Rhinolophus ferrumequinum: one gene and its partners. The protein of the gene in region 1 interacts with the protein of each later gene in a pairwise test. Links are inferred from orthologs where the notes say so. Each region holds a gene or a part of one and is shown in the gene's direction. Other genes may lie near its edges.

Region 1 (7,960 bases):
CCACAGTGAAGGAGTGGTAAAGAGAGATAACCAAGAACCTTAACTATTTTGATCTGGGGGTCTGAGTGAAAAATAAGTTTAAGAGTCTACCTGGAGAATTTTTAACCATACGCTTGCCTTCACACAAGGTTAGGCTTAAAATATGTAATTCCTCTATGATCTGGAGACTTGAAACCAATAATATTGACATAAAATGGTGAAGCGTGGGTAGTAACTTGTATCTCCAAGAATAAACACAAATATTCCCTGGAGGGACACATCTTTAATCTAGGCTAAATAGAAAATAGAAAAGATTTATAAACTAAATTACACTAAAATTAAGAACTTCTCTTTATGGGAAGACACTATAATGGGAGTGAAAAGACAAGCCATACACTAAGAGATGGGAGAAGATATTTATATCAAAATAACCAAAACAGAACTATTGTCTGGAATATATAGAGAACTACTTTGAATCAAAAAGAAAAAGACAGGGGCCGGCCCGGTGGCTCAGGCGGTTAGAGCTCCATGCTCCTAACCCTGAAGGCTGCCGGTTCGATTCCCACATGGGCCAGTGGGCTCTCAACCAAAAGGTTGCCAGTTCAACTCCTCGAGTCCCGCAAGGGATGGTGGGCTCCGCCCCCTGCAACTAAGATTGAACATGGCACCTTGAGCTGAGCTGCCTCCCGGATGGCTCAGTTGGTTGGAGCGCATCCTCTCAACCACAAGGTTGCCGGTTGGACTCCTGCAAGTGATGGTGGGCTATGCCCCCTGCAACTAGAAACGGCAACTGGACCTGGAGCTGAGCTGCACCCTCCACAACTAAGATTGAAAGGACAACAACTTGATTTGGAAAAAAGTCCTGGAAGTACACACTGTTCCCCAATAAAGTCCTGTTCCCCTTCCCCAATAAAATCTTAAAAAAAAAAAAAAGACAACTCATTATAAAAATGAACAACGGGCTTAAACAGACATTTCTTCTTTAACAAAAGAGGATCCACAAACATGTGAAAAAAATCTTCAAGTGCATTAATAATCGGAGAAATGCAAATTAAAAAAGGCTGTATTGAAATACCATTACACATCTGCTTGTTTGGCAAAAATTAGAAAATATGACAAGAATAAGTGTTGGTGAGGATGTAGAGCAACCAAAATTCTCATCTTCGACTAGTAGAGTGTAAATTGCTACATTCATTTTGGCAAACAGTTTCATATTTTCTAGTAAAGGTGAACAGGTGTATATCTCATGATCTAGCTGTTCTATTTCTTGGTAGAGACCCTAGAGAAACTCTTACACACATTCACAAAAAGATACATACAAGAATGTTATTAAAAGCATTGTGTGTGACATGGATGGATCTTGAGATTATAATGCTAAGTGAAATAAGTTAGACAGAAAAAGTAGAGAACCATAAGATTTCACTGACGTGGTATATACAACTGAAAACAACAAAAGAACAAGAAAAACAAATGAAAAAACAAAACTCATAGACACAGACAATAGTTTAGTGGTTACCAGAGGGTAAGAGGGGAGGGGGGTGGGAGATGAGGGTAAAGGGGATCAAATATATGGTGAGGGAAGGAGAACTGACTCTGGGTGGTGAACACACAATGTGACAGATAGATGATGTATTACAGAATTGTATACCTGAAATCTATGTAACTTTGCTAACCATTGTCACCCAAAAACTTGAATTAAAAAAAAAAAAAAGCATTGTGTGTAATGGTCAGAAAAATTGAAACAAATATCCACGAACAGTAGACTGGATATATACATTGTAGCATATCAAACAATGAAATACCATATATAATTGAAAAGGAACAGCCACATGGGTTCTCCACGGATTAATCTTACAAACATAATATTAAGAGAAAGAAACAAATTACAGGAAAATACATGCAGTATGATTCCACGTACATACAGTTCAAAACAGAAAAAAACCCAAAACACTATATTGTTTAGGGATACAATCACAGATGGTAAAATAATAAAGAAAAGTGTAGGAATGTTTAACTCAAAAGGCAGGATATTTGCTCTCTATGAGAAGTGAGACACATGCAATTGGGAAGAACACACAGGGGCCATTTAAGGTATTGGTAGTTAGTGTTTTATTTCTTAACTTGGGTGGTAATTACAAAGTGTTACTTTGTTATTATTACTTAAAATGTATACAAATGTTTTGTACACTTTTATTATGCATGAGTATGAATAATATATCTCATAATAAAAAGACAATAAGAGAATGCAGCTTTACATTCACAAACTTAGGCAAAATATATTCCTAGAAAAACATAAATGACCATAACTGTCTCAGGAAAATATAGAATATCTAAATAAACTTATAACTATTCAAGAAGTAAATCAGTACTTCCAAATAAAACAAGATTTAAAAACAAAACATTAATCCCAGAGGTTTTGCTGGTGATACTTAAAGAAAAGATAATTCTATTTTTTACACAAATTCAGAGAAGAGAAAAAGAAGGCACATTCCTCCCATTATTTTTATGTAACTAGTATAACTTAGGTTAAAAAAAAAAAACACAGACAAAGATAGTTTAAGGAAAAAAAATAAAAAGCTATCTTCTACGTATGTAAAATAAAAAACATTCTTGTATGTATCTTTTATGAACATAAAGGTTGAATCCCAAATAAAATATTACCAAACCAAATCCAGCAATATGTGAATAAGATAATATATCATGATCAAGATGGAATAATTCCAGGAAAGAAAGGATGGCTTAACAATAAATAACCTAGAAATAACATTAAATAACCTAGAAAAATTCTTGCATATATACCAGGAAACACGTGGAAGAATGTTCATAGTAGCATTGGTTGTATGGCAAAACACCAAAACAACCAATTGGTTATCAACAGTAAAATGGATAAATACATTTTCATCAGTAAAATGTTATTTAGCAATGAAAGTGGATGAACTTCAGCTATGTTCATCAATATAGATGAATCTCAAAACTCATGGTGAGCAAAGAAAGCAAGGCACAAATACATAAAATATGATTTTTGTTTACATAAACATCAAAACAAAGGCGGAAAAAGAAATGATTAACAGAATTCAAGATAGTGATTGTCTCAGGAGTAGGGGAAGGGGCAGTTAGGTGGTAGGGAGTACATGGAAGACTTACGGGGTAGCTGGCAAGGTTCTATCTCCTTTCATGGTTGTTCATCATTAATAATTCAATAGTCTATACACTTTTTTCATGCTGCTTTCTGCATTTGCATTATGCTTAAAAATAAAAAAAGTTCAAATAATAATTTAAAAAACTTGTGTTCACTAAAAGATATCACTAAGTAAGTGAAAAGGCAATCCACAGAGTGGAAATACATATTTGCAATATGTGTACCTGATAAAGAACTCATATCTAGAATAAGTGAAGAACTCCTGTGAATAAAGACAACTCAACAATAAAATATACGCCTTGTATGGGCACTTCACAAGAGGGGAAATGCAAATGGACAATTAATATATGAAAATGGTCCCAATATTCATAGTCATCTGACAAATGCAGATTAAAGCCACAATGCAATCCTACTGCATACCCACCAGGATGGCTAAATGAATATACTTATACTAAGTGTTGACAAACATATGGCACAACACTGGTGGTATTGTAAATTGATATGACCACTTAGAAAAAGTTTGGCAATATCTACTAAACTGAATATATGCTAATCCTATGACCCACTCCTAGTTATACACCCAAGAGAAGTGTGTGTGTGTGTGTGTGTGTGTGTGTGTGTGTGTGTGTGTGTGTATTCACCAAAGAATATAAACAGGAATATTCCTAGCAACACTATTTGTAAGTCCCAAACTAGTAAATACCCAAAAGTATATCAACAGTAGAATGGAAAAATAAATGATGGTATATTTACACATTTATACTATACAGCAATAAGGATGAATGGACTGCAATTACATAGAACAATACGGATGAATCTCACAACTGTAATGTTGAACAAAAGAAGCCAGCAACAAAAGAGTACATATTGCATGGTTGCATTTATATAAAATTCAAAAACAGGCAAAATTAATGTATAGTATTGGAAATCATTGAGCTGTATAATTAAGCAATAATTAAGATTCCGTATTTTTCTGTATATATGTTATTTGTGTAATGTGTTTTTTACAAAGGAGGGGGGAGGACCTGGATGATTTTATAGTTGGGGATATTGTGCCATTGACTGAGGAATCTGATTGATCTTCCAATTCTTTGTACATGAATTCCAGAAAATAAAGTCAAACACAAAGGTAGTAGTAACTAGGAGAACAGAAGTTGAAAGCAAAACTTGCAACTGACACATGGGGAAAGGGGTGGAGGGATGGATGTACAACAAAATACATTTCTTTGGTTGAGTACTCTGTTAAAGTTTAAATAGTGTCGGGAGTAATAAGAAACGATGATGTTAGAAAGCACTGAATTTATTGGATCAATTTCAAAGAAGAGATTATGGTGCTTCTACTTTGGCTGCACCAATTCTCAGCTCCTTTAGGAATGGAGCCCACTAACCTGAAGTGCTGAAACGGACAGCTAGAAAGAGAACTTATTTTAGCTGTTGTTTTCCAAAGGTATCTCCCAAACCCTCCGCAAACATTGACCCAGGCAACCACATTGAAGTGAATGATTTGATCACCCAGATACCCTCTAAAGTGCAGATACAAGATATTACTACGGAGCTACACTGTCCTCTGTGTAATGACTGGTTCCAGGATCCACTGATGCTAACCTGTGGCCACAACTTCTGCCAGGCCTGCATTCAAAACTTTTGGAAGCAGCAAGCAAAGGAAACATTCTGTCCTGAATGTAAGATGATATGTCAATATAGCAACTGTACATTCAACCTTGCACTGGAGAAGCTGGCAGAGAAGATGAAGAAGCTACCCCTACTCAAGGGCCATCCACAGTGCCCAGAGCATGGAGAGAACCTGAAACTGTTCAGTAAGCCAGATGGGAAACTGATCTGCTTCCAGTGCAAAGATGTTAGGTTGTCTGTGGGGCAGTCTAAAGAGTTCCTGCAGATCTCTGATGCTGTTTGTTTCTTCATGGTGAGTGAGCCCTGGGCTTTGAACAATCCCTTAGGGAAGCTGGGGGGAGGGGAATATTCTTTCTTCCAGTCCCACCCCTTTATTCAGATGATTATTAGAAAGCTCAGAGTGCTCAGAAAATACAACGTATCTTGCAATGTTCTTTCTCTAGAATTGCTGATTGTAGGAGAGGAGCAGTGGAGGACCTGTGGCCTACTCCTTCAATCAATCAAATATTTACTTAAACCTTGCCGTGACAGCACTCTGCTAGACTAGACACTGTGTAGAATATGGACATATAAGATATTGTTCTGGTTCTAAAAGTCTTGAGATTTAGTCAAAATGAATAACACAATGGAAGTAATATAAGATAGTCTACAATTGAGAGCATAATTTTGTCACATTAGTAATTCATAAATGTTTAGAATTTCAGAAAAGATTGGAGAAAACTGAAATAGTCAGAGGATGTATGGTGAAAAAGTTTGAACTGGGAAATAATTTGGATTTGGATGGGCAAAAGGAAGAAATAAGTGCTCTAAATGAAAACAATGTAAGTGAAGGTATTGTGAGAACAGTCTAACTAGGGTAGAAAATATATAGAGTTCTCTTGCCTTTCTCAAACCCCTGTAGTTAACTAAGAAGGTAAAACAAACTAAATGTTTCTGCTGCTTGTAATTTTCTTCACAATTCTTGGAAGAGACAGGAACTGTGATACAGGGGAAAGGAAAGACTTTTGCAGCAAGAGTTGGCTTTTTTTCTGACACTGGGGCTTTGGGGGAGATATCTCTTATGGCCCTTCTCCCAAGTCAGTGTGGGTTAATTCCACGTGGTATTCCCAGGAGGAGCTTACCATCTACCAGGGTCAACTGGAGGCAACCCTGAAGGAACTTCAGGCCCTGAGGAACATGCAGAAAGATGCTATTGCTGCTTACAAGGTGAGGTGCAGGGCAGAGGGGTGATGAGATTGAACTTGAATATAGCCTCCTTGTAACTAGCTATTTGGGTCAAAGGGTACCTATACTATGTTATCAGTACACTAAATGATAACTGGGCGATAGAATTAAAAACCAGGCACAGGAGGGTGGAAAGGAATGTAGCAGAGGAGTCAGTTTCCAATAGTTGATCTACAGAGTGAGCGGACTGGCCTTTGCCCTAATATGCTGATCCTTTTGATGGTTCAGTCACTAGGTATTGGGGTTGTGATCTGTCTGGTCTTTCCTTTAATCTATGGCAAAATGAGGAATTCATCTATGGCAAATCCACTAAAGATAGCTCTGTCCAAAGAAATACCTTTCTTTTCTTTGGGTTTGCAACCAGGCTACCTCAGAACCAAGGTCTCTCAGATTGCTGGTTTTTCCCATCAGATTTGATCTTTCCTAACTTCCTCCAAATGTAATAACACGACTGCCTATACTTTCAACTTCACAGGAACTATAGGACAACATTAATGGTTAGAGACTTGGCAAATCTGTCCCTAGGGTGGGGGGAGTTTTATTGCTTCGTTCATTATTCTATGGACGGGAGTATTCGCTGGCATTTGGCATCTGAAAGAAGAAATATATACAGTGAGAGGAAGAAGAAGGATAGAGGGAAATAATGATGCCTCCAAAGAATCTTGTTCCTGTTTTAAGGGTTCCTAGTTCAGCTATTAAAGTTAACATTCATTCATTCAAAAATATTTACTGAGTGGGTCAAGCATTACACTAGATACTATATTCCACTAGGTTGGGAGACAGAAGTTAAGTAACCCCTCCAACAACAATAAAATAACAACTGTGATAATTACTATAAATGAAAATACAAGGTGCTATGAGAGCATATAAGCGGGGAACCGAACCTAGACTGGGGGAGTTCTCTGAAGAAGTCACCTACTAATAATTGAGAATTGAAGGATAGGTAACTTAGCTAAGTGAACTGGGTGAGGGGAATATGAAGGACGGGTTCTGAAGAAGAATGTTCGATGAAGAGTAAAGAGCATATGGAAAAGTCCTGAGAAAGGAAGTTAGTTGCTGTGTTAAACAGAGAGAAAGCCAATACAACTGGATCCAGGTAGGCGAGATGGGATTGAAGAGGCAGATATGGGCCCAAACACGTAGGCTCTTGGAGATAATGTTAGAAATGTTGAACTTCACCCTGTAAATAATTAGAAGCCATTAAGAGGTTTAAACAAGACATAGCTTCATCTTATTTTGAAAATATCAGTCTGGTGGCTCTGCAGAGAATGAACTGAGCGAGCCGAGGACATGGATAATGGGGAGAAGGCTACGGCAGTGGTCCCAGAGAATGATGGAGAGGCAGTGGGCGGGGGGGGGGAGAGAAATGAACAGCGTCAGCATATGCTGTGGAGATAAAAAATAACCTGGATGTGGTGATTCATTGGATGTGGGGGCGAGTGGAGATGCCACACAGACAGTTGGACATAGGAATCTGGAACTTAGAAGTTGATGTAGGCTGGAAAGAGGACGTCCGCATATAGATGGTACGTAAAGCTGTGGTAAAACAGGAAACCACCTTGAAAGAGTGCAGAACAAGAAGGGAAGAGAGCCCAGGACAGAGAATATCAAGTAACTCTAATATTTAGAGCTTGGTTAGGGGAGTCAGAACCAACAAATAAGTCTGAGAAATAGTGGTGAAATAGGTAGAAGGAAAATTGGAAACGTGTGAGCTAGAGAAAAGAGAGAGTTAAAGACTATTTGATGAGCGCAATTATAATGATGGACTATAGAATCCAAGCTGGGTAAGAGGGGACATGGAGACAGAAGAAGTTGAAGGAACAGAAATGGAGGGGTCAATATATAGGAGGTTTCAATGAGACCCCAAAATTGTTGCAACAGGGGTATCTGAGTGAGTATAAAGTTATTTTTGGAGATGGTGCAATTGCTGGGTATGATAAAATCCTCATTGTAACCAAGAGAATGAGTAATAAAGGTGGAAATCAC
Region 2 (7,780 bases), on another chromosome or scaffold:
CTTTGCTAGGAACTCCTTAATACCCACCCGCTGGCTGCACATGGTGTGTCTGTTTCCGACCAAAGCCTGACTTTTGCTGATTAGTCATAACTGACAGACTGCTCTCCTATCCTTAATAGGCCCTGCCCTGTGCCCACATTTTGCTTTTTAACCATGACATTCCAGCTTAATCTTCACATTTCAACTCCTAGTAACAAAGCTCCCTTTTGTTTTTCAGATTGGGATCATCTAAACTGAGTCCAGCTGGCAAATTCTAAATACAAACTTTTTCACTGTATATTTGTCTCTTTATGTTGATTTCTGGTTGTGCTGGGGGGAGGCCATACTTGGGTATACTTGTACACAATACACAGGGTTTACACAAGACTCTTGGTGTACATAACCCTGTTGGAACACTTAGCTCTATCATGGCACTATACTTGCTATAATCCTGGTGGGTGGGAGCTCAGATAGGAGATATTTGTGACTCAGTCTAGGATTGTCCTGAGACAACTAGTACTTCTCTCCATCACAGGGGTAAGAGAACAAGCAAGAAGTTTTATAAGAACCCTTAACTTTATCTCTGGCGAAGAGGCTTTGTATGAAACCAATACCAAGAGTTTATTAGCATCCATTTCAGGGCAGTGTGGGTTGGCTGGCTCTCACGTAGCACCTTGTCCCCACACCCACCTACCATGTCCAACCGGTCTGTCTGCTTCGCTCACCCCTTGCCCAAGAAAGGACAAGGACTTCAGAGTGTTTTCATTAGTGTTTTCAATAGTGGGTGCAGGCTTGACAGGTGGAGAGGCTGGATGCCCCAGGTTTGGGGCTCATCTCAGTTTATGTGTGGGGCTGTTCTCCCTTGATTGTGTTTTTTGTCCTTGCCACAAGTCCCAGGCTCTGTGCCTCTTACTCCGTCAAGAATTTGTCTTTGTGTTGTTGGCTGGGTACACGGTCAGGGCAGAAATCAGAGCGGAGGAGGCGGGAAAAATAGATGAGAATCATAATGTCCAGCATGAGCAGGATACCCAGCAGAAAGGTGCCCTGGGTCCTCTGGCCTGCATATTGCAGGAAAAAATAGGTGAGGTAGGCCTGAGGGGCCAGGCGGAAGAGAAAATACATGACCAAGTTGACATACTTGTTGATCCGGTAAAGGAGGAGGTCCTGGGCATTGTTGATCTTCATCATCATTCGGATGGTGAGGAAGATGTTGCTGACCTCCACCAGCAGCGTGAGGACGCCCCCACCTACAAACTTGCTCCAAAAGATGCCTGAAAAAAAGGCACCCATGGCCTAGAGGGCAAAGGAGAGAACAGATTAGGAAACAGATTCCCTAAGGCTTTACTGGAAGTTGGTGGGAGTATCAAGGTTACCAAACAGGGCTAGAAAACCTTCCCATCTGCTGGCATACAATTGAGTGAATCTACCATTAAATTTTGATCCCTGCGTGGAGTTTATCGTCTAAGGAGGTACTAGGTGAGGCTATGGATTGCTGGCCTCAAGATAGTGAACCAAGGGTACAAAGGTAGGGCCAACCCTTAGTATCCTAGCATGGGAAGGCAAAGGACACCATGGGAATGGGGTTAAGAAAAGCTGGTCTTCCCCTTCCCAGTTTCAGCAAGACAGCTGAGACTGAAGTTGCTAGCACCAGACCTATACCACACCCCCTGCTTCTCACCATGACATGATGGACGAGGTATTCCCAAGAAGCTCGAGCCTGACGACTAACCACAATGTCCACTGTGTCGTGGATGAAATACCCTAGTGGAGGGATGGGGGAAGAGGTCAGGAAGGGGATTTAAGGAGTTTCTCCCTGTTCTCCACCTTCTTAATACTTATTGGGCAAGACTTACCTGTGGAGAAGCAAACGAGCAGATAGCCAGAAAGCGACCATGCCGTCTCAATCTCCACCAGCATTTCGGGGGTCTGCCATACACTGGGGAGGGAGGGAAGAAGGCAGCCACTCATCTTCCCATTCCCAAGGACCCTCAACTCACAATTACCCAAGCCAGTCCCAGGAGAGTTCTGGGCTCCCACTATGGACTGGGAACCGAGGAGGGGTTTGGCTGAAACCCAGGTGTCTCCCGTTTCCCAGGTGAGATCCTCTTCCCCTGGGGCCGAAGCAGTTCCCGATTGGTTACAAGTAATCATGTGAGACTGCATAACCTCAGCCCCCCGTGATGGGGAGAGTAACGGCGGGATCCCCTAGCCACTTTCACTACCCCGGTCCTTCACTCACCACAGCAGTGCCCAGATCCCTGACACAATGGAATGGGCGAAGGAGACGAGCAGGTTGTGCCAACGCCAGGTGCGCAGAGGGTCGGCTTGCACGTGCGCCGGGAGAGGCAGGCGAGAGAGCGCGCGCCGGAGCGCCCGGAAGGTCAGCGTGGCGCCGAGGAGCAGCGGCAGGGCGGGGTGTAGCAATGGGGGCATGCTGGCCCTCCCAGCCGTCGGTCTGTCCGCCCTCTAGGCGGCCTCCTCGGGCTGTACGGGGAACTGGGCTCCCTCTCGGGCCAGTCCACCCCGGTCGCCTATCCCGCCGGCCGCCAGCCTCTCACAGTTTTTCGCGGAGCCCTCTAGGCCCCTTTGCTCCTCCCGTTCCCTCCCAGAGGGCCTCTGCCCCCGCCCCTAGTCGCCCGCGCCCCCGCCCCGCCCAGTCCGCTTGCCCCCGCCCCTCGGGCGCCTTTGCTGCGTGGAGGGCGCGAGCCCCATTTCCCGGGGCGGGGGGGGGGGCCTCCCGCGTCTTGCCTGGCTCCCGCAGACTTCGGGCGAAAGGGGGCAGTCCTGGGGCACCGCCACGGAGGTACCCCTCGCTGGCGCCTCCCGACTGCCGACTCTCTGGTTCGCTTGGCCTCATTAACCCGCGTCCCCTCTTTCCCCGGGGCCACCGGCTCCCCCGCCTGGGCGGGTACTGCGAGAACTCTCTCCGCCCTCAACTCCTTTCTGGGCAGAGCTGGGCAGGATTCGTCACACACCCACGTCTTTTAAACCCAGATCCTGGGGACGTATCGGAGCCCGGCCTCCGACAACAATTTCTGCCCAGACCCCGTTCTTCCACTGGATCGCTACCGTAGCGTCTTCAGACTAGAGATGGACGTGCTTACCTGCCTCTACGCGCCCGGCACATAGTCGGTTCCCAGAAACTGTTGACTAACCCATCACCATCCCTCCTCCCAGCCCGCTCTTGAGCTCCTGGGGCCGAGCTGCTGTCACAATCCTCCCTCAGGCAGTCCCAGCTCTCTTCTCCTAGCTCCTTGGAGGGCTGGAGCAAGGAAGACCGCCCGTTTGTCCAGGCTGCTAGGGTGACCCTCACTCTTCAGGCCAGTGGCCTGGAGTAGTGGCATATTCTAGCCACTAGGTGTCAGCCTGTCCTCACTGTGGCGTGGGATTCCCCTCCAGCCTCCAAAGGAATGAGGTGGTTGTTTTTGCGGGTTAGCAGGCCATACGCCAGCGCACCCCGGAGCGGCTAAGAGCCGAGTCGGGAGTGGAAGAGGAGGAGGAGTGGAGGGGGAGGAGGGGCGCGAGGTAAAAGGTGCTTTGAGAGGGAGGAAAAGCCAGAAGCCTGAGGCGCCAGAGATCCAGGGACTAAGAGGTTTGGGTGTTTGCTCAGCCTCCCCTGGTGGCTCCCAGGTTACACATTAACCCACGTGAGGTATCCTGAGTCAACCAAGGCCCAATCGGTTTCTAGGTGAGAGCACGAGTGTCCCGGATGAGCGGCTTTCCCCCTCTGCACTCCCCTTTGCTCACAGGGCAGCTTTGTCTACTAGCCAACACCGGCCTAAGCCTGCGAGGAGCCCTCCTGAGGCCCTTCTAGTGGTCATCCCACATAGGCAGATTTGGGCACTCTTTCGAAGGGTGGGGTGGGAGCAAAGATAAACACCTCATTCCTCACATTCCTCACCCACTCGGAAACAGGGACGCTATCCCTTAGCTAATCACCACCCCCTTGCTCCTTAACTGAGCTTTTGTGGACTCGTGCAGAGCAGAAGGTACCAGGGAGACACCTGGAATTAAATTCACTTCTTGTCAAGACCCTAAACACTCGTACTAACTAGCCCCCTACCTCTGGGCAGAAGCCTGAACCCTTATCGGCCAAACGGCTGCCGTTCCTCCTCTCCCTCTTTCAGATAGTGATCTACTTTCCTCCCATCTTCCTCTAAGGAGGTTCTCCCTAGTTGAGCTTAGAAGGGAAATTACCCCGCGGTGGGTTGTGTGTGTTCAGCTGGGGGTTGCGTGTGCTGACGAGCGCGGTGTTCACTAGTCGGGACAGTCTGGAGACCGTATCATATCCTCCCTAGGTGATTCAACTTGCGCAGGTCGGGGTTTTCCCTGTTGCGCCCTAGGCAAATACGAAACTAACCCTGCTCCCTACCCCACAGAGTGAGGATGCTGAAGCTCCAAGTTCAGTCTGCATCCCAGTGAGAATCTGCTCTCTCTTTCTGAAACAGCGTCAATAGTGGCCAAAACGGGGGTCAGAAAAAGGATGTCCCTGCTTCCCACCCTCACTCGGCCTGCGCAGGGCACCCCTCCAGTCTAATGAAGCTTTGCGAGGGCCGGATGCGGCCACAGGTGTGAGAAGTGGCTGATTACGTGCAGGCCATTGAGAAGCGCGCCAAGAAATGGCATGTCGTCCCATTTCTTCCTTGGACCCTGGAAAAGCGACCCTTCGGACCAGGTTTGTAGGAACGGTGCCAATCAGCAGAGAGACGCGAGGCTGAACCAACACCCAGCTCCATTTGCTCCGCCCCGCAATTATTTTGCAGTGTAAGGGCGTGGCTCTGGAGTGGGCGGGTCCGCGCACGCGCAGCGTCTGAGTGTGGGGGTTCCGGAAATGCGACTGGGAAATGAGATGGAGAAGTACGAGAAGATCCGAGTGGTGGGGAGAGGTGCCTTTGGGTGAGCCAGGGCTCTTGGGGGAGGCAATTGCTCGGGGAGAGGGAAAATAAACCCCAACTCTGTCCGCGAAATTATTGCCGGGTTAGCTCCAACCCCAAGGCGTGAATGCCGACTCTGGGAAGCTCCGCCCAGGCTTCCGGTCCCAGTCCTAGTCCTAGAGACTCCGCCCCTAAGGAGGTCACACCCCGGCAAACCTTTGCGCCCCTCACAGTTCTGTTTGATTCCGTACTCATTCCTTCAACAGATAACCGGTATTGAGCGCCGACTCTACATGTCAGGCTCTCGGCCATGGGTATACAGTTAAGACCAAAATAGGTGTGATCTTTTCCCTTTCGGAGCTTACAGACTATAGAAAAAACATACAACAAACAACACACTGTTAAAGCCGTTATTTAAGAAGCTGCGAGAATAAGGTACAACACCAAGGAAATAATTATTTGGGGTGGTAGAGGGAAATTTCTCCGAGAGGTGAGGTATAAAGCCAAGGCTTGAGGAATGAGGATCAGCCCTTGAGACAGGTGAAGGCAGAGCTTTTCGGGTGGAAGAAACGGCATATGTGAGTGAAGATGCTCACGTGGGGAAAAAATTCAGAATATTCAAGGAACTGAGAAAAAGACTAGTGTAGTTGGAATGTAGCCAGCAAGCTGAAGAATGCTATAAAATGTGAGGGAGGGACCAGATTTTGGCCTTGTAGGCTCAGGTTGAATTTATTTGCCATGTAAAAGAAAACCGTTTGAGCAGAGGATGTGGTCTTGATATGATTTGCATTTTAAAAATATCACTCTGGCTGCTGTGTGGAGTTTAGATTTGAGGTTGACAAGAATGAAAGTGACCATTTTGAAAGGTAGTGCAGTATTTTAGGCTAGAAATGATGATTGGGCCAACGGTTATAGCAGAGGACACCGAGGAAAATGGATGGGTTCACAATATTTTGGAGGTAGAAACAGGATTTACTGATGTGTTAGTATGAAATGGAGGAAAGATTCTGCCATGATTTTCAGGTGTCTGGCTTTAATAACTATTTGCTGAGATGGAAGAGACTAAGGAAGGAAAGATTTTGGGGGCAGGAATCAAGAATTTTGTTAATATTTTGAATTTGTTAAATTAGGATGCTAGTGAGCCATTCAGGTAGAGATGCAAAACCGTAGTTGGATATATGAGTCGGGCTCAGAGGAGAGGCCTGAACTGGAGAGATACAAAGTTGATACTTAGATGGTCATCTTATAGTCTGTTCATTCAGCAGATACTTACTGAGCTCCTGCCATGTGCTGGGGCATATCCTAGGCTATGCACTAGGTATATAGTGGAGAATAAGAACCCTGCTTTTATGGACACTGACCACAGATTTGGAAGAAAATAATAATGTGAATGGCTTCCACTCATTGAGCACTTTTGATGGGCCAGGCACTTTGCTAAGTGCCTTACGTGCATTTTCATATTTGATCCTCTCAACAACCTGTGAGGTCAGTTCTATTTTTCGGATGATGATGTCACGTAATCCAAGACCAGATAACTAGTAAGAGGAAGAGCCAGGATGTGAACCCAGGCAGTTGAAATTTAGAAAGATGAATCCTAACTTTGCCTCATTGTGGCTGTAGAGAAACTGAGTCTCAAATAAGTTAAATGATTTGTTCAAGGTCTTACAGAGTTTGTGGTTAGTCCTCCCCATTCCGAAACTCAGGGTTCTGTGCGCTTAGTTAGATGACCTCTTAGTCTGGGTGCCAGTCCCCTCTCTTTTAAGTCTAGTCACCATCCAGTCGTCAGGTCTGCCCAACCTGACATGTGGCTGGAAGCTCAGATGGTACCCACTGCTGTACGCTGTGTCCTCAGGATTGTACACCTGTGTCTGCGCAAGGCGGACCAGAAGCTGGTGATCATCAAGCAGATCCCGGTGGAGCAGATGACCAAGGAAGAGCGGCAGGCAGCGCAGAATGAGTGCCAGGTCCTCAAGCTGCTCAACCACCCCAATGTCATTGAGTACTACGAGAACTTCCTGGAGGACAAAGCTCTCATGATCGCCATGGAATACGCACCAGGTGGGCCCGACTCAGGCCCCTTGCACCGGCCTGGCTCCAAGGGCCTGTCAGCTCTGTGAGGCGGCAGATACAGACCAGCCAGCTTCCTTCCTTGGAATGGGCTTGGCTGAGGGTCAGAGGGGTAGAGTTCTGACCCCAGTAGTGTGATGCTGGCAGGCCCTGGCCCTGTCTGGGTCTTTAGTTTTATAAAAGCAAAGTCTCAGGCCTGGAAAAGCCTAGATCTTGACTAGTCCCTTGCGGCTGCAGGCGGCACCCTGGCTGAGTTCATCCAAAAGCGCTGTAACTCCTTGCTGGAGGAGGAGACCATCCTGCACTTCTTTGTTCAGATCCTGCTCGCGCTGCATCATGTGCACACCCACCTCATCCTGCACCGGGACCTCAAGACCCAAAACATCCTTCTCGACAAACACCGCATGGTCGTTAAAATTGGCGACTTTGGAATCTCCAAGATCCTTAGCAGCAAGAGCAAGGCCTACACGGTGCCTGGGCATGGAGGGGACCTCAGGGGTGCTGGAGGTTTTGAGGGCCAAGGTGCACTCTGCAAGCCTATCTCTCACCCCACCCCCCAAGACCTCGGGCCCGTAGCCCCTGGCTGGGTAGTCCTGCAAGAGGAAGCACTTTGGCCTGCTTTGGGGAGAAGCTGTCTCCACGTGGGCCTCAGTCTTCCCTCCCTGGGCTGTAATATTAACTTCCCTCTTGCAGGTGGTGGGTACTCCGTGCTACATCTCCCCCGAACTGTGTGAGGGCAAGCCCTACAACCAGAAGAGTGACATCTGGGCTCTGGGCTGCGTCCTCTATGAGCTGGCCAGCCTCAAGAGGGCCTTCGAGGCCGCGGTGAGTAAGCGCCCCTGAGGAATCGACTGGGAGAG
Region 3 (7,941 bases), on another chromosome or scaffold:
AAAACAAAATATTTCCTCTTACCCTATGCCAACCTCTCTTTACCACCCCCTACCACCCCCCAAAGCTCAAGTTCATGACAATAGCACTGTTAACAATTTGGTGTGCAGCCTTTGAAACTGTTAGAGAAACCGTTTCAAAACAGACACACACACACAAAAAGGATTTTATATATGCTAAATTTTTTCCTTTAAACAAAAAATGGGGTATAAGTCAGAGTTCCTGGGTATTAACAACAGAAACCACTCTGGCTAACTGAAGCAAAAAAAGAAGTCTCAAGAACCAAGCTCAGAAAACCAGCAGGACTGCAGTGAGGCGATAAACCACTGTGGCCTCTCTCCACTCATCAGCAGGGGAGACTCTAATTTCACTGACCCCTCACTTGATGGCAATTGCTTAAAATTCAGAAAGTGGGGAAGCCTCCCACCACCTGAGACCAGCTCACATACCCTCTGCTTTAGCAGCCAGGAGGGGGACAAGGGAGGGTTTCCCCCTCCCTGTAATAGGCTTCTGTAATAGGGGATGTGTTCTGCCTCCCACCAAGACTCACACAAAAGGAGAGTCTCCCCAAATTTCGAAGGTGTTTTCAAAAAATGACCGATTACCACAGGGATCATATGTTACATATTATTCACTAATTTATTTTAAATCATATGCACCTTTCCACGTCAGTAATATAGATCGGCCTCAATCTTTTAAGTAGCTGCATTAGTAGCAACAAGGTGTCCCATAGTATGTATGTATCATAATGTATTCAATGATTGGTCCCTTTTCTTCTCTCTTTCCTGTATCCTGCACATTGTCACATGAATGAGTGCTGGCTACACACATACTATGGGCTCTGCTTGTATCCAATTTTTATCTAGATGTGGATAGAGCCAAAAAGTTTAGTACTCAATTCTCATCACTTTTCTCTTTTCCTTCCTTCCAATGTCACCTACTTTCATGTTTTCAATTGTCATCTATGTTTATTTCTCTCAGATCTGCATCTCTCCTCCTGGCTTCTTTGCTGAACTACACCACTATTCAAATATATGTTAGGCTTTACATTATAGCTGATATTAGCCCTGTCCATATTCATTACAAACTTAACATACCTCTTTGCTAGCTTTGTCCCTGCTCTTGGAATCTTTCACTATGAAGAACGGTCTGCTATGCTCCTGAACAAAATGTCTGATTAACTGGTTCTCTACTGGCTTGCAAATGCAGAAATACGTCCCCTGTCATTACTAATGAAGAAAAGTGCCATCTCTATCCCACTGGTCTTATATTAGATAATATATGGTTTCCCCTAATATCTACCTATGTACTTTTGAAAGACTTTCATTGCTAAATAATGCATGATACATTTTCATGGGTGGAGAAAATTCCTAATGCACTAATTATATCAAAGGCATCTTACATGTGTTAAGCCACCCAAGTCAGGCTAATGTCACTGAGGGTGTGTACGGCCAGGGATAGCATAGGATAAGGATTTACGAATAAGGGAAAAACAAATATAAGGTTACTGGAGTTTTAGAAGAATTTTAGTATTTTCATCTTTAGTAACAAGAAATTTGGCATATTTTTCTCAAAAACTTAATGATAATTACAACAATTTGCTCTGATCCTTTCTCCTCCATTGCTGGTCCAGGTTCTGACCACCTCTCCCTTATGGTAGGACCAGGAGAGGTCCTCTTGATACCAGTCTCTTCTTTCCCACAGAGCCTGGATACTATGCATGGTTGGACAGAATTATCTTTGAAAAGATACCACAGTTCTGGTCATTTTGTTGTTCCGCTCAAATACTTTTGGATGAGCTTCCACAGTCTACCTATAAAAAATTCTTTCAAAACGTCTTAACAAGGCATTTAAGGCCTTATGTTATCTGATATTGACATACATTTCCAACCTTATCTCCCTGATCATACAGGGACTGCTGGGAAATTTGGGGGAACCAGCACACATACATGTGACAATGTGCAGGACAGACCTAAGAAAGAAGAAAAGCAACAACTTTAATAAGGGGGCATGAAACAGTTTGATGGTCATAATAAGAAAGTGAGCCAGGTTTGTAGATACTTGAGTAGAGAAAGAAGGCCAGATTCAAGAGCTATTCTATTTCTAAGGCAAATGGAATAATGATATCGAGTAGGACGAGAGTAATGAGGAAGACAAATTAAGGATGACACCCAAATTTTTTTCATGGGAAACTGTTAAACCATTTACAGCTTAACAGTTATACAAGGCAACACATGCTTCAAAGGTAAGAAGGATGTGTAGTGTGTGATACATTTATTAGATGTGCTTCACTTAAAATGTCTATAGGGTAAGAAGGTACCTTAGGCAGTCAGAGGTCAAGGATTTAGAAATTAAAGCCAAAGGAGTGGACAGCCTCACTGTGAAAGATCACAGAGCCAAGAGGAGAAAGGTTGAAATGACCTTTAGGTCTCCAATTATTTTGTATCTTTAAAAATATTTACATTTTGCCCCAAGCTAAGAGTATACCTGTTGGTCTCTGAACCCTTAGACTTTAAGAAAACTTAAATCAGGAGCCGTAGGTGTTTTAGGGAGAGAAAAGCCCACTCAGTTCAGGGGAGAGGTGACCAGAACCAAGACCTGGTGCTTAGTCTATGATCATTTAATTCCTCTATTTTGAATCTTCTTTAAAAACTCATGGTGAGAATCAAGGAACTTAGGTGAATTGGAGCACTCTCAGTAGCTTTAAACAGAGGTACGTACCCCCCAACTTGCTTGTCTAAGTTTATTGTGTTTCCACTGTAAAATAATTACAAGTTCTTTACATTTACTTTAAAAAACTAACACACAAGAAAGGTTAAAAACCATCTATCCAAAGATGGTTTGACTACATCCCCTCAGACTTTTTTCTATGCACTTTTGGTTAAGCTTTTTAAATTACACCGTACAATTTCATATCACGATTTTTTCACTTAACATTGTATATTAGCATTTTCCCGTATTATTTAAAAGTTTTGTAAATTATTTTTAGGGGTCACTTAATATTCATTGAAGTTACATTATTTTGCCTTACTGTTAAGACATCTGGTTGTAGCCAACTTTATCCTATTATGAATAACGCTGTGATACAGGTCTTTATGCATAATGCATTTCCTTCATGTTGGATAGCTTCCTTAGAATATGTTCCTAGAAGTGCCACTCATGAGTCACAGGGAATATATTGAGTCGTTTAAACCCACCCAGGCTCCTCCGCACCCGCCAACCCTCGCACGCAGGCCCCTCATCATTCTTCCGTACTCTCCGCACACCTGGGTGTCTCCCATCCTTCCCCCAAGTGCCGGTCCCTCCACCTGCCTCCCCGCTCACCCACAGACTTCCTACACCCGCCAGGCTGGGCAGCAGTGGGGACAAAATAGCTTTGGTCTTACGGCCTCACCGAAAATCACACTCCCCGGAAAACGCCCAGACTCACCCACTTCGGATCCGAAGTCCACACCAGGTACCGGAAGCATCGACTCCAAGGCCTCTGATAGGTCAGCGGTGGTCGGGACAGCTCGGCAATGCGCTCTATCTATTGGCTTTTGCCATGTCACGTTAGGAGAGGGTCCGTCCCACCGGCGAATAAGCTCGGGCTTTGCCGCACAGATCTCTGGGAGTTGTAGTCCCCATGAAACTCCACCGACCGTAAGCCAGCCACAATTTCTCCTTTAAGAGGTTTAGCATTTCCCCGACTTCTCATTGGTTCTCTTATTCTAAGAAGGAGTACAGGAGCCCTAGAGTCAACACGGTTTCTTAACCCTTTTTTGAGGGGAGGAGGAGTCGGGGATGGGAAGGAGTCGAGGACCTCTTTAAAATACAAAATTTCCTCAGAAAAATGTTCTTATCTGTACACAAAGTATTGTGCATTCAACTGAAGCCACTCCATTGACCTGTCCCGGTTACACACCCCTGTTCTACACGTACCCCCAAAGTGCCTGCCCATGCCCATAGCCCATGGACTAGTGGGTCACTAGGCTTCTTAAGAGCAAGTTACACTCCTACGAGACTCCGAGCCACGCCTTGGAGCAGCCCATGGGGAATTTCAGGTCCTGACCCTCATAATACAGTTGATCATCATCTTTCTTGGACAACACAGCCAATCCCCCTTCAGCGATGCTGATAACCTGAAGTCTCTGACCTAACCACCTGGGAGAGTTGTGGTAGGGAAATGGGACGAACACCTTTAGGGTCTACTCTGGACATCTTTGCTCGACTTTTCTGCTCATGCCTACCTTCCAGGGGCACTTGTTAGAATCATACCTTCACACAATGCAGGGGAGGATTAGAAAAGAAAAAAAAATGTAAAGAAGAAATTTAAAGTCCCATTCATTCTTCAAGCAAATGCTACTTCCTCCAAAACTCTTTACAGATTCCTGGATCTCTTTTGAGTGGAGGAGGAACTCAAGGTGGCACTCATGCATTCATCCCACAGCAGAATTACTCCTTGTAGTAACTGTGTCCCTCTCCATCACAGATTTGGTTCCTTGAGGATAGTGATTCTGTCTTAATTCAACTGGTATCCCCAGGGTGCAGTTCTTTGCCTTGAAGGTGGGAACGCACCTGTGCAAGCGGCAGAGCTACCTGGGATGGTGCATAAAGGCTTATAGTGGGTGGAGAAGGGTCAGCAATGACCCTTTCTTCCCTCCCACCCCACCCCTCCCCATCTCCCAGCTTGCTCCTGCAGATCTGGGCAGCCCAGCCAAAGCAGGTACCTCTCTGGTGCTTCCATAACGTTCTGAACCTCATGGCAGTGAGAACATCTCATTAAAGAGTTGGTTTAGTTGCTGGCCTTCCCCTAGTCTGTGAGACCGCGTGGATTCCCCAGAGAAGATAAATAAGGGTTGAACAGATGGATAGATGGGTGAGTGGGTGCATGCGCGAGTGTCTGCATTCCTCCCTCAACATTCTCCCCAATCAGTGGGTCAATGATCTTCAGCCTGGTCAGGCTCCGGAGCAGCCGCTTCAGGCCAGGGTCCCTTCCCCAGGGCCCCGCCCCGGCCGCCCCCACCTTTCCGTGCTGCTCCGCCCCGTCGCCCCCTTCCCCGTGGCCCCACCCCGCGCAGGTCCCGACTCCCGCCGCACCTCCTCCGGCTCTGCAGTGGCGGCGGGGAGACGAGTCGGAGCGCCAGCGGGGCCGGAGCCAAACCGGGGTCGCGGCAGAAGCGGGGACCCTCGGAGGCGGGGCCAGGGGGACTGCGATGGGCGTGGAGATCGAGACCATCTCCCCAGGAGACGGTACCGGGCGGCGGAGCCGGGGGAGAGGAGGGGTCTCGGGGGTGAGGAGGACGAGGGGCGGGGGTCTGATTCGGAGGTGGCGCGGAGGATGCCCGAAGAGAGGGGCGGGCGTAGGATGGGGGCGGCGGCAGGAGACCCCAGACGGAATCGCTGGAGGTCTAGGAGACGATCCTCCGCCCTCCCCTCCGCGTCGGCTTACCTAGGGGAACGGAGGCGGCGGCCAGGAGGTGGGGGTCTGCGGCTCGCCACCGCCCCGGGGGCCGCGGGCTGCCGCTGCGGCGGCTGGAACCGCTCAGTTATCCGCTACCGCTGATTTCCCAGGGCCAGGTTTTACCTCCGCTTTCCCTGCACTGCTATGTGAGCTCAAGAAACACAGGAAAGGACATGCTTTGGGGGTCTCTTCTGCTCGGGACCACCCCCTTCTAACGCGCCCCCCGCTAGGCTGGAGGTCGGGCGGCCGCCTGCGGGCTGGGCGATGAGACTCGGTGGGGATCGAGATAGTCTAGGAAAGGAGCTGCGTTCCCCCCGCCTCTGCATCTCGTTTTATCCTCCCCGCCCAACTCATCCTCTCTGGCCATCCTGTCCACTTCACTCTCATCATGGCTTTCAGTATCGTCTGCAAACCGATGGCCTTCAAACTTAAGCCTCCAGCCCAGACCTCTGAGCTGAGTTCCGGGTGGTCCATCTGTCCTACTGCTGCTCAACCTCTACCTGGACGTGCCACCGATACCTCAGTCAGCAAGTCCCAAACAGAACTCTGTGTTCCCGGTTCCCTGCCTCCAGGACTGGCACCACTCATTTCCCAAGCCAGACACCCCAGGCGTCACCCTTGTATAATTGGGTGTGGGTGTGCAAGGAATAGCTATGTCTTTATTTGTTAAACAGAACTTAATTCAGACTGGAGCCCCTATTTCTGCAGGATTTGACAGGCAAACTTCACGTCAGAGATTACTGACACTCCCCGCCCCCGCCCCCGGAAATTACTTCCAGACCACTCCTTATAGAAAGGCAGCGGTCCCTAGAAGCCCCAGCACCACACAGGATCATCCGTAGGGTACAGCTTCTTTGCCCACGCTGGCAACCATGGTGCTGAGTCCGGAAACATATCCCTGAGAACTTGTCACCCTCCCAGGGAACTGCCATACAGGTCTGAGGGGGCGGTGGGGGGTAATGGAGATCTCTTCTCTTTTCTCTGGCTCAAAGAAGCCTTTAGAATTTTCTCTCCTATTTTTCCCTCCCTGGCCAGGGACAAGGGGCGTTTCCCCTTGAGGAGGATTCGATTTTTAGCGAAAGTCTGGAGGAGCTGTGGCCTTCTGCTTTCTGCCTGGTTTAAACCCCTGAGTCAGGGAAGCACAAAAAGGTCAGACAACTGTGCTGTAACCCAGGAGAGCAATATGCAGGTGAATATGTCAACACGTACGCTGCCGGGGTGGGGACACCTGTCTTGGTCACGCCCCACACCAAGTCCTGTCCAGTCCTGCTGAATCTCTCCAGGCACCATCCCCTGCCTTTTTTCAGGCCCCCATCATCTCTCACCTGGCTTTCTGCACAGCCTCTAGTCTGGTCTCCCCACCTCACCTTCACTCATATTCACAGCCTGAGGACTCTTTCAAATGCCTTTTTGACCATGTCCCTCCCCAGGCGTCAACTATTTTAATGAGTCTTTCATCTCCTTCTCCAGGCAGATGGTGACGTCACCTATTTCCTAACTTCCACACTACATCCTCATCTCTCACTTCCAGTCCCTACCCCCACTACCAACGTTTTCTTCAGCTTTAGCAAGCTGCCTGTAAGTGGTTAAACTCACCAGTCATTCAGCAAATATTTATTGAACATGTACTGCGTGCTGGGCCCTAAGGTTACAGCAGTGAATCAGACAGGGCTCCCACTATGCTTGACTCTAGGCCTTTGAACATGTTGTTCACTGTTCCCACATTATCTCCCTTTACTTCCTTTGGCAAGCTACTCATCTTTCAAGACCCTGGTTTCACCATGATCTCCTCTCTCATGCTGTCCCTGACACCCACAGGTAGTTGCTCCCTCCTGCAGGTTCCCATGGAGTCCCCTAAGTGTTGGCTCAGTTGTTAGCCCTCCCAAGGCACTGTTATCCAGCCCCAGGGCTTTAAATTCCACCCAGATTTATACCTCCAGTGCAGACTCTCTATCTGCCTATTTGCAGTGTAAACTCAGATGTCTAATAGGCATCTCAAGATTGCCCCCCGCACAAAGCTGTTCCTTCCATCTCAGGAATTCACTCCACCATCCAACCAGGCACCTAAACTAGAAACCCACGCATTGTGCTTGATTTCTTCTCTCTCATTCTGGACCCCGTGTCCACTCCATTAGCATACCCTGTCAGCTCCACTTCCAAAATATATCTCCAATCTCGTTTGCTCTCTTCTCTGCTGCCACCACGTTAATTCAAACCATCATTGATTTCCTGTCTGGAATACTGCAACAGGCGCCTGGCTGTCCACCCTCCACACAGCAGCCAGAGTGATCTTATAAAATCTTAATTCAGATTATGTCATTCTCACTTAAAACTCTCCAGTGGCTTCCTATTGCACTTAGAATTAAATCCAGTTCTGCAAGGCCCGGCATGGTCCTCTCTTTCCCACTCATCTGCTCTTCCTTCCCTTCTTTCCAGTCAGCTGGCCCCCCTTCTAGTCTACAAATGCACTGATCCTTTCCTGCCTCATGGTTTGTGCGCT
Region 4 (6,830 bases), on another chromosome or scaffold:
GCTACCAACCTGTACCACGCCGCGCCTCTGAAAGCCCCTCGGGAGGAGAGGACTGGGGGCCACGTATGGGAGACAATCTGTGGGCTCTTTCTCAGTTCTGTCATCAAGTGTTAACTGAGTGCCTGCTGTATGCACTGGGGCGTGGGAAATGGAGCCGGCCAATCCCACCTATCCCTAACGTGCTCATTGTCACTTGTGTGGGGAGAGAGGACCTGTAAATAGACAATTTGATATGACAGGAGAAATCCAGGACACTGTGGGAGCACAGAAAAAGGTCCCGCAGCTCAGCTGAGGAGGGGACAGGGAAGGCTCTTGGGAAGAAACTTGCACAGGACACAGGGGAGTGAGCCAGGAGAGGAAAGTGCAGGAAGAGCATTGCAGGCAGAGGGCACCGGAGGCAGTAACGGGTTGGTGGTGGGGGGGGCAGCTCCAAGAAGCTGGATATTGCTGGGGTGGCTGCATAGGGTAGGGAGAGGAGGCGTGGGGGCTGCACGGGCTGTTCGTACTTGCAGACCCAGGGAAAAGCCCCAAGTCTGAATATCTACCTCCCTAAGGAGAGGGAGGGAACGACCGAAGAAGGAGGCTGGCCACTCCAGTTTGGTTATTAATAGAGTTTATTTAGGGAAAGTTACATGACAGACATGTCTTGGATGGCTGCAAGATGAACTGGATCTCCGCCTAAAGGGGGCAATAGTCACGGGTTCGAGTACGTGACTTCTGCCAGGGAAGGAAATTACGTGTTTGACCAGGTCAGGACAACAACCTGTTCCAGGAAACAGCACATAGTAGGGGATGTCAGAATGAACATCAATTATGATCAGATTGTCTTTAAGAGGGGTTTGCAGAAAGCAACCTCCATTCTGGGCAGGGTCCAGCTTTCAGGACAGCCAGTGGTCACATCACAGAACAGTCTCTCCTCCAGATGCTGGGCTCTCACGGTGCTCCTGAGCTGAGCCCTCCCCTGCTGTGTCTCCTGGCTGCATGCTTCTTCCTGGAAATTCAGGAGGAGTGGGCCCCATAATCTCTAGTTTTCAGCAATTACATCTTGGGCCTTGTGGTTGCTCTGATCCTGCTGGTTTAGAATCAAATTCTTTATAAGGACTGAAACCCAGGAACCCCCCTGGGTAGTGTATATGGGGCACCTTCTTGCGTCCACTCAAAGTGAGTGTCCATTGTACAGATGGAAAAATTGAGGCTCAGAGATAAGAAGGGCCTGGCCCAGGGCCACACAGCCTGGCAACTGGGGGGTGACTCACAGTGTGACTGAGCTGGCAGAGTATGTCCTCAAATCTGGAATATGACCATAGTAAACTGGCCTAATTCTTTGGCAGGGGGAACCTGGCCCTCTGGAGGCATTGAGGTGGTTTGAGAGTCATGTACTGTGGAGAACTGGTGACTAAAGACCGTTCCCGTGTTTGGGCAGTCTGGTCCGAGTGGAAGCACCTGTGTTTTAAAGGGGGTGCTAGCAGAGGAGGAAGTGTCCCTTGTCACATCATGGAGACCCACTCTCTGGAAACAGTGTTTTCACTGTTTCTGTGAGCTGTTTAGTAAGTGTTGTGAGGACACAGGGCTTCAGGGTTGAACATGTTTCGGAGACAGTGGAGAAAGCAAAGAGAAAGAGCCATAAGGCGCTGAGGGTAAGTCAGGGTGTGGTGCCTCTCACAAACCTGGGAAGTAATCATGGGTAAATCCCATTTTACAGGTGAGGAAACTGAGGCCCAGAAAGATGTGCTTGTGTCTACATAGTAGGTCTCAAAAATATTTCTGGAACAAATAAATGAATTGGGAACAAATGAATGAATTGGGAGATATATTAAAAAAATCTTTCCCTATCACTTAATATTTTTCAAAAACATAATTTTTAATGGCTGTATGGTATTCCATTCCAGTGGCATTCACCATTCCCATTGTCCTGTGGCCAGGAAATTAGGTTGTGGTTGTTTCCCTTTTTTTTTTTTAACTATTAATAGCAATGCTATAGTAAATAATCTTGTTAAATCTTTCTGAATCTCCTCCGTTATATAGTTAGGGTCAATTTCTAAAAGTACAGTTGCTAGATCGAAGTACAGGCCTACTGATACAGCACAAAATTTCTCAAAACTTTTTGAGAAATGTGACTATGTTGCCCTCCTGAAAGGACATCTGTAATGCAGGGACTCAGCTCCCACTCCCCGCACAAGAACACAGGATATGGTGAGGCCAAAAAGGAACAACAACGGAGCCATGGATAGGGGAGTCATGCCACTATATTCTCGATGATGGCTGGTCAAGACACAAAAGCAAACATCCACCAGTACCTAGATGAGGGGTCCTCCTGCACCCCAGTCTCGCTGGCGGCCCGGCGAGACATAGGAAGTAGGATCAACACAACCTGCAATCCACAATCTGCTTGCTAACCGCACTTGCTAGCAGCAATCTGCTGTCTGCTTCTCTGCCAACCAACCAACCCCCCTAGAGTAGCCACGGCAGTTGTATTAGTGGCTAATGGCTAACCGGTAACAGCTGATGGCCACCCAGCCACAGCGGATGGCCATCTGATTACAGCTGATGGCCATCTAATAACCGAGCCAGCACCTTTCCACGTGAGGCCAAGCGCCTGGAAATTGCTCTCTGGGACTCTGTCCCCACAACATTCCAGTTGACCTCCTCACCTGCCGTGTTTGGAGGGACATAGTTGGGCTGAGATGTCTTTTAATTCACGCCCTTATTTTGTTCTCTCATAGAATATCCTTAAAAATGTTATTTTTTAAAAATAGATCGTACATTAAGGTACAGAATCCAAACTGTATAAAAAATATTTTCTAAAAAGCTTTTCTTCTTTGCTTGTGCCCTAGTCAGCCCAGTAGCCACCACTAGGACCAGTTTCTGGTAGATCCTTCGAGAAAAGTTCAGATGCAAGCAAATACACATAGAGAGAACATCCTTTAAATTAACTGAAATAAAACAACATACAGCCATGGGGTGCATAGAAGATAGGGAGCTGACATCTGAGGCTGATTTCCTCTCGGTTTTGAACTGAGTGGAGAAAATACTGCCAAGGTCAGGATACTGGAGGAGGCACTGAAACAGCCTCAGGCCTGTCTACAGGGCAGGATGTTATTGTCGCTCACATGCTGAGTCAGGATGTGGTCATAGGATCGTCAGCTCCCTCTGATCTGGGCACACTAATGACAGCTTGTCCACCTTCTTATTCTTATGGGCTCTTCCTCCCCACCCCTACACTGCGGGGAAGGGGCAGGCCTGGAATGTTCTCAATCACTCTGAATTCGTAACAAGTACTCAACAAATCATTGAAGACAGGAGACATCACCAATATGCTGTTGGCAGGTGAAGATGCTCAGAGTTCTAGAATCTGAGTGTGCCCAAATGACCTCTCTTCATGTGGCCTCATTTGGAGTCCAAGGGAAGTTCCTTCTGCCCTCTGTTTGTCTCACTTTCTTAATCTGGAATGAGGCTCAGCATTTTTATGTTGTTTTGTTTTAAGCTCCAGGGCACACAGGGCAAAGGCAAGCTTTGAAGCTGTATGGGTCAGCAGGCCCTTTACCCAGGCATCTCAAGTATCTCCCAACCCCTGATTACAGGTGTAGATCACAGAGAAGAATCTAACCACTGCACCAATGTCGTCATTCCTGACACAAACACTGAGAAGCTGAGGTCTGGGAGGCACCCTAGCAGTGTGTTCACATGGTCATATGCCTTTGTAAAATCTGCCAAATCAAGACATTTTAACCTCACTCTGATAAAACTACCATCTCCTTCCACTCTTACTTCCCCTTGTGTCAGATGATGATGGAGCGAGGGCTAGCTAGCATTTTGGAGATCTGGGTCAGAGGATTCTGAGGTTTAGTCAAGGTATAGGAATGGCTTCCCGAGATACACCTACTTAGCTCACCGAGCTTACTCCGCTGGCACTGTGACAAGAAGGTGTAGAGGCATATCCGACATGTACGAATGGTCTTACTTGTTCATGGAAAGTCTGATGGAGGTATGTCAAACAGGTAATTCATAAAAGTAATGTTCTTTTTCTGGATTTTGTAATCTTTGTGGAACTTATCATTTGTTGTGGTTTCTTTGATCTTTCTAACCAAATAATCAGTTTATTACCTAATTTTATAGTTCCTTTCTTAAGTAAGTCTCCCTAAATTGTATAAGCCTCAGGAAATACAAAGTTGGCATCTGCCCCTGCTGAGTTTTATCTGTGTCTTTTAGGATCACAGGATCCTCCCTGCCTTTCCTTACTGCCAAACAAATCTTGCACATTTACACGCCAGACTGCACAGTCATTGTTAGCTATTGATATATTACTCGTCCTCCTCCTGCATTTGTCCAAGGCATGTACACAGTAAGTGCTCAATCATCGGCAATCCAATCCAATCCAATAATTTGAAAGACACTAGCTGGAATAGAAAACAGAGGCTGGTTGTAAATTGAGCAATGCCCTAGACCCAAACAGTGACTCAGCAATGAAATGTCCTCATTTCGAAGAGCCCTTCGAGTTAGTTTATTCTAATCCTCTTAAAAAATGTTTTTTTTTTTTCTTGGCATGTTTAAATATTGGAAAAAATCCATAAAAGCACAATGAAAAAATTAACTGCTGTTATTATAAATGATTATACATATGTACATATGGTATTATGACTGTGTTTAATACATATTTATGTTGTACACAGTACTTTGAGACATACTTTTAAAAAACCTAATATTTCCGTAGCATTTCACCCATACTTTAAATATCTTTTAACTATATAATTTTTAATGGCTTCATAATATTCTTCGTCAGAAAATGGGGATAATTAAAGGTATCCATCTCAAAGGGTTATGCCATGAACACTGACAAGGGTTATATCATGAAAATGATATTTTTTACTTGGCATGTAAAAAGCTCAGTAAACCTAGCTCTTCCCCAGAATGGTTTTATGTAACCAATCCCCTTTCGCTAAGCATTGAGGTTATTTCCATTATTTTGCTATGATAAATAACGCTGGGTTATAGTAATCTTTGCTCATATCTTCGATCATTTCCTTAGTAAATTTCGGGAGTGCTGGATTTTAAAACCAACCTATTTATTGGAAGTGAGAGGGAAAAGGGCTTCCCTGGGCACATACAACGAGTTAGCTGGAAAACCGGGAATAGGAAACACCCGGGGACCCTAAAGTGAGCCTCATCCAGCTGGGGACCGGGAGAAAGTCCTATCTGAGCAACTAGGCATCGGGACTACAGTGCCCGCCGGAAGAACAGGAGGCCAGCGCAAAGGCGCAGGGAGGGGCGGATGCCCAGGCGCAGCGCTCACCTCCGGAAACGAAGCTAAACGGTCGCCTGGCAACCCGGGCGGCGCGGCGTTCGAACGGAAGCGAGGAACCAATCAGGATGTCCGGGGCAAACCATTCCGGTGATAGGGGGGAGGAACGTCATGCCTACTTCCCCTTCCTCTGCGCTGCAGGACCTTCGCTCCGGTGGAGGCCTTAGGACACTCAGATTCCCCCCGCTCAAATCGGGTGCGGAGAGCATCTCGGAACAGTTCCCTGCGGGCTCCCACGTGAGGCTGGGCCCCCCGAGCTGCTTTGGTCACAGCCATTCCCCGCCGGGGTCTGAGCTGTCAGCCTCTCCAAGAACCGCAGTGAAGGAGCCGGGACTCGCCTATAGCCGGCTCCAGGTGAGGGCGCGGGTGGTTTGGGGCGCGAGCCTGGGCCTGGGGGTGGGGGTGGGGCGGTTCCTTTCATCGAGCGCCTTCTGTGTGCGTCCTCTTGGCGTTGTACCTGTGGGAGGCAGTGGTACCTCATTTCACAGATGACACCGCTGAGGATTAGAAGGACAAGTGTCCTAGCCTGGCGAGGTCTTGCAGAGAATCCAATTCAGGTCTTTCTGCTCTACCTCGCGGTCTCTAATCTAGGTAGATCTAAATTTGCCGCAGAGGCCCAGATGGGCAACTGGTGGTCACTTTTTCAGCCTCTTAGCAGCAGGGACACAGCCCCGTGGAGCCTTGGCTGGATCACCTCCCTCCTCCCTCTCCCCCACACCGTCCTCCGGGTGTTCTTCTGGGCGTCTGTCTGATCTTCTCCAGAACTCCACGGGTTAGACTTAGGGCTCATTTGGGATCCTTCTGCCCACGGGGTTCTGAGGGCTTCTCTGGGGGGATCGGGCTGGACTGACATTTCTGGGCTAGATGCCAAGTGGGCAACAGGTGTTGTGACCTTGGAGTCGCTGTTGGACTCTTGGGAATCTGGTCCAGGTTGGGGGAAAAGACAGAGGCAGCCCTTCATCGGAAGCCACTAGTCACGGGAGCCACAGGAGACTTTGGAGTAGGGGGTGGGTCCGGGGCCCCTCCTGGTGGAGCGTCTGACCTAGACCAGGCCCTGCCTCCTGGTGACCCCTGGTCCCCCAAGCTATTATTGTTGGTTTCTTTTTTTTGGTGGGGAAACTGAGGTTCTAAGAAGATAAGATCCTTGCCTGAAGTCACACAGTCGACTTGGCACCGCTGGGGTTGGCTCCCAATCAGTCTGGCTTCAATACTAGACGCTCAGAACCATAGCATCTGAGAGTCTTGAATTTCTTCAAGGGGGGGTTACTTATCCTCTATCCTCGGAACCCCTCCTGACTCTGGAGAGAGGAACTCTGGGAAATCAGAAAGAAAACAAGTCTTTCATTCATTCTTTCCACAAATATTTATCGCTTTCGTATGTCTTGCCCTCCCCCTTGTCTATTCTGTTTTTCTCAGTGGCATTTACCCCATTTGTATATTTTACTTTTTAGTGAGTTTATTATCTTCCTCAACTGGCATGTGATGCAAGGAGAGGCTAGGATGAGGTAAGTGAGGTACTCACCTCCATTGT

The links. The genes of interacting proteins can lie anywhere in the genome.
Region 2: the proteins of TRIM69 (region 1) and NEK8 interact in binary tests that used the Homo sapiens proteins (3 or more experiments, as listed by UniProt). The two-hybrid records come from large-scale screens. The link is inferred for Rhinolophus ferrumequinum from reciprocal best matches to the Homo sapiens genes TRIM69 and NEK8.
Region 3: the proteins of TRIM69 (region 1) and FKBP1B interact in binary tests that used the Homo sapiens proteins (3 or more experiments, as listed by UniProt). The two-hybrid records come from large-scale screens. The link is inferred for Rhinolophus ferrumequinum from reciprocal best matches to the Homo sapiens genes TRIM69 and FKBP1B.
Region 4: the proteins of TRIM69 (region 1) and FAM110A interact in binary tests that used the Homo sapiens proteins (3 or more experiments, as listed by UniProt). The two-hybrid records come from large-scale screens. The link is inferred for Rhinolophus ferrumequinum from reciprocal best matches to the Homo sapiens genes TRIM69 and FAM110A.

The regions. Positions count from the first base shown.
Region 1 is NC_046289.1:61,413,654-61,421,613, reverse strand, and holds the start of TRIM69 (E3 ubiquitin-protein ligase TRIM69), read left to right. Parts: upstream 1-4,954; 5' UTR 4,955-5,039; coding exon 5,040-5,042; intron 5,043-5,860; coding exon 5,861-5,956; intron 5,957-7,960.
Region 2 is NC_046304.1:18,737,031-18,744,810, reverse strand, and holds the start of NEK8 (serine/threonine-protein kinase Nek8), read left to right. Parts: upstream 1-4,774; 5' UTR 4,775-4,810; coding exon 4,811-4,875; intron 4,876-5,110; exon of another isoform or gene 5,111-5,288; intron 5,289-5,311; exon of another isoform or gene 5,312-5,841; coding exon of another isoform or gene 5,842-5,876; intron 5,877-6,705; coding exon 6,706-6,911; intron 6,912-7,157; coding exon 7,158-7,390; intron 7,391-7,613; coding exon 7,614-7,745; intron 7,746-7,780. Other genes in the region: RPL23A (60S ribosomal protein L23a), read left to right, coding at 218-232; TLCD1 (TLC domain-containing protein 1), read right to left, coding at 889-1,272, 1,658-1,740, 1,833-1,915, 2,219-2,412. UniProt on the Homo sapiens protein: Required for renal tubular integrity. May regulate local cytoskeletal structure in kidney tubule epithelial cells. May regulate ciliary biogenesis through targeting of proteins to the cilia.
Region 3 is NC_046296.1:55,718,056-55,725,996, reverse strand, and holds the start of FKBP1B (peptidyl-prolyl cis-trans isomerase FKBP1B), read left to right. Parts: upstream 1-4,935; 5' UTR 4,936-5,193; coding exon 5,194-5,230; intron 5,231-7,941. UniProt on the Homo sapiens protein: Has the potential to contribute to the immunosuppressive and toxic effects of FK506 and rapamycin. PPIases accelerate the folding of proteins. It catalyzes the cis-trans isomerization of proline imidic peptide bonds in oligopeptides.
Region 4 is NC_046306.1:23,653,004-23,659,833, forward strand, and holds the start of FAM110A (protein FAM110A), read left to right. Parts: upstream 1-3,824; 5' UTR 3,825-3,951; coding exon 3,952-3,998; intron 3,999-5,429; exon of another isoform or gene 5,430-5,653; intron 5,654-6,830.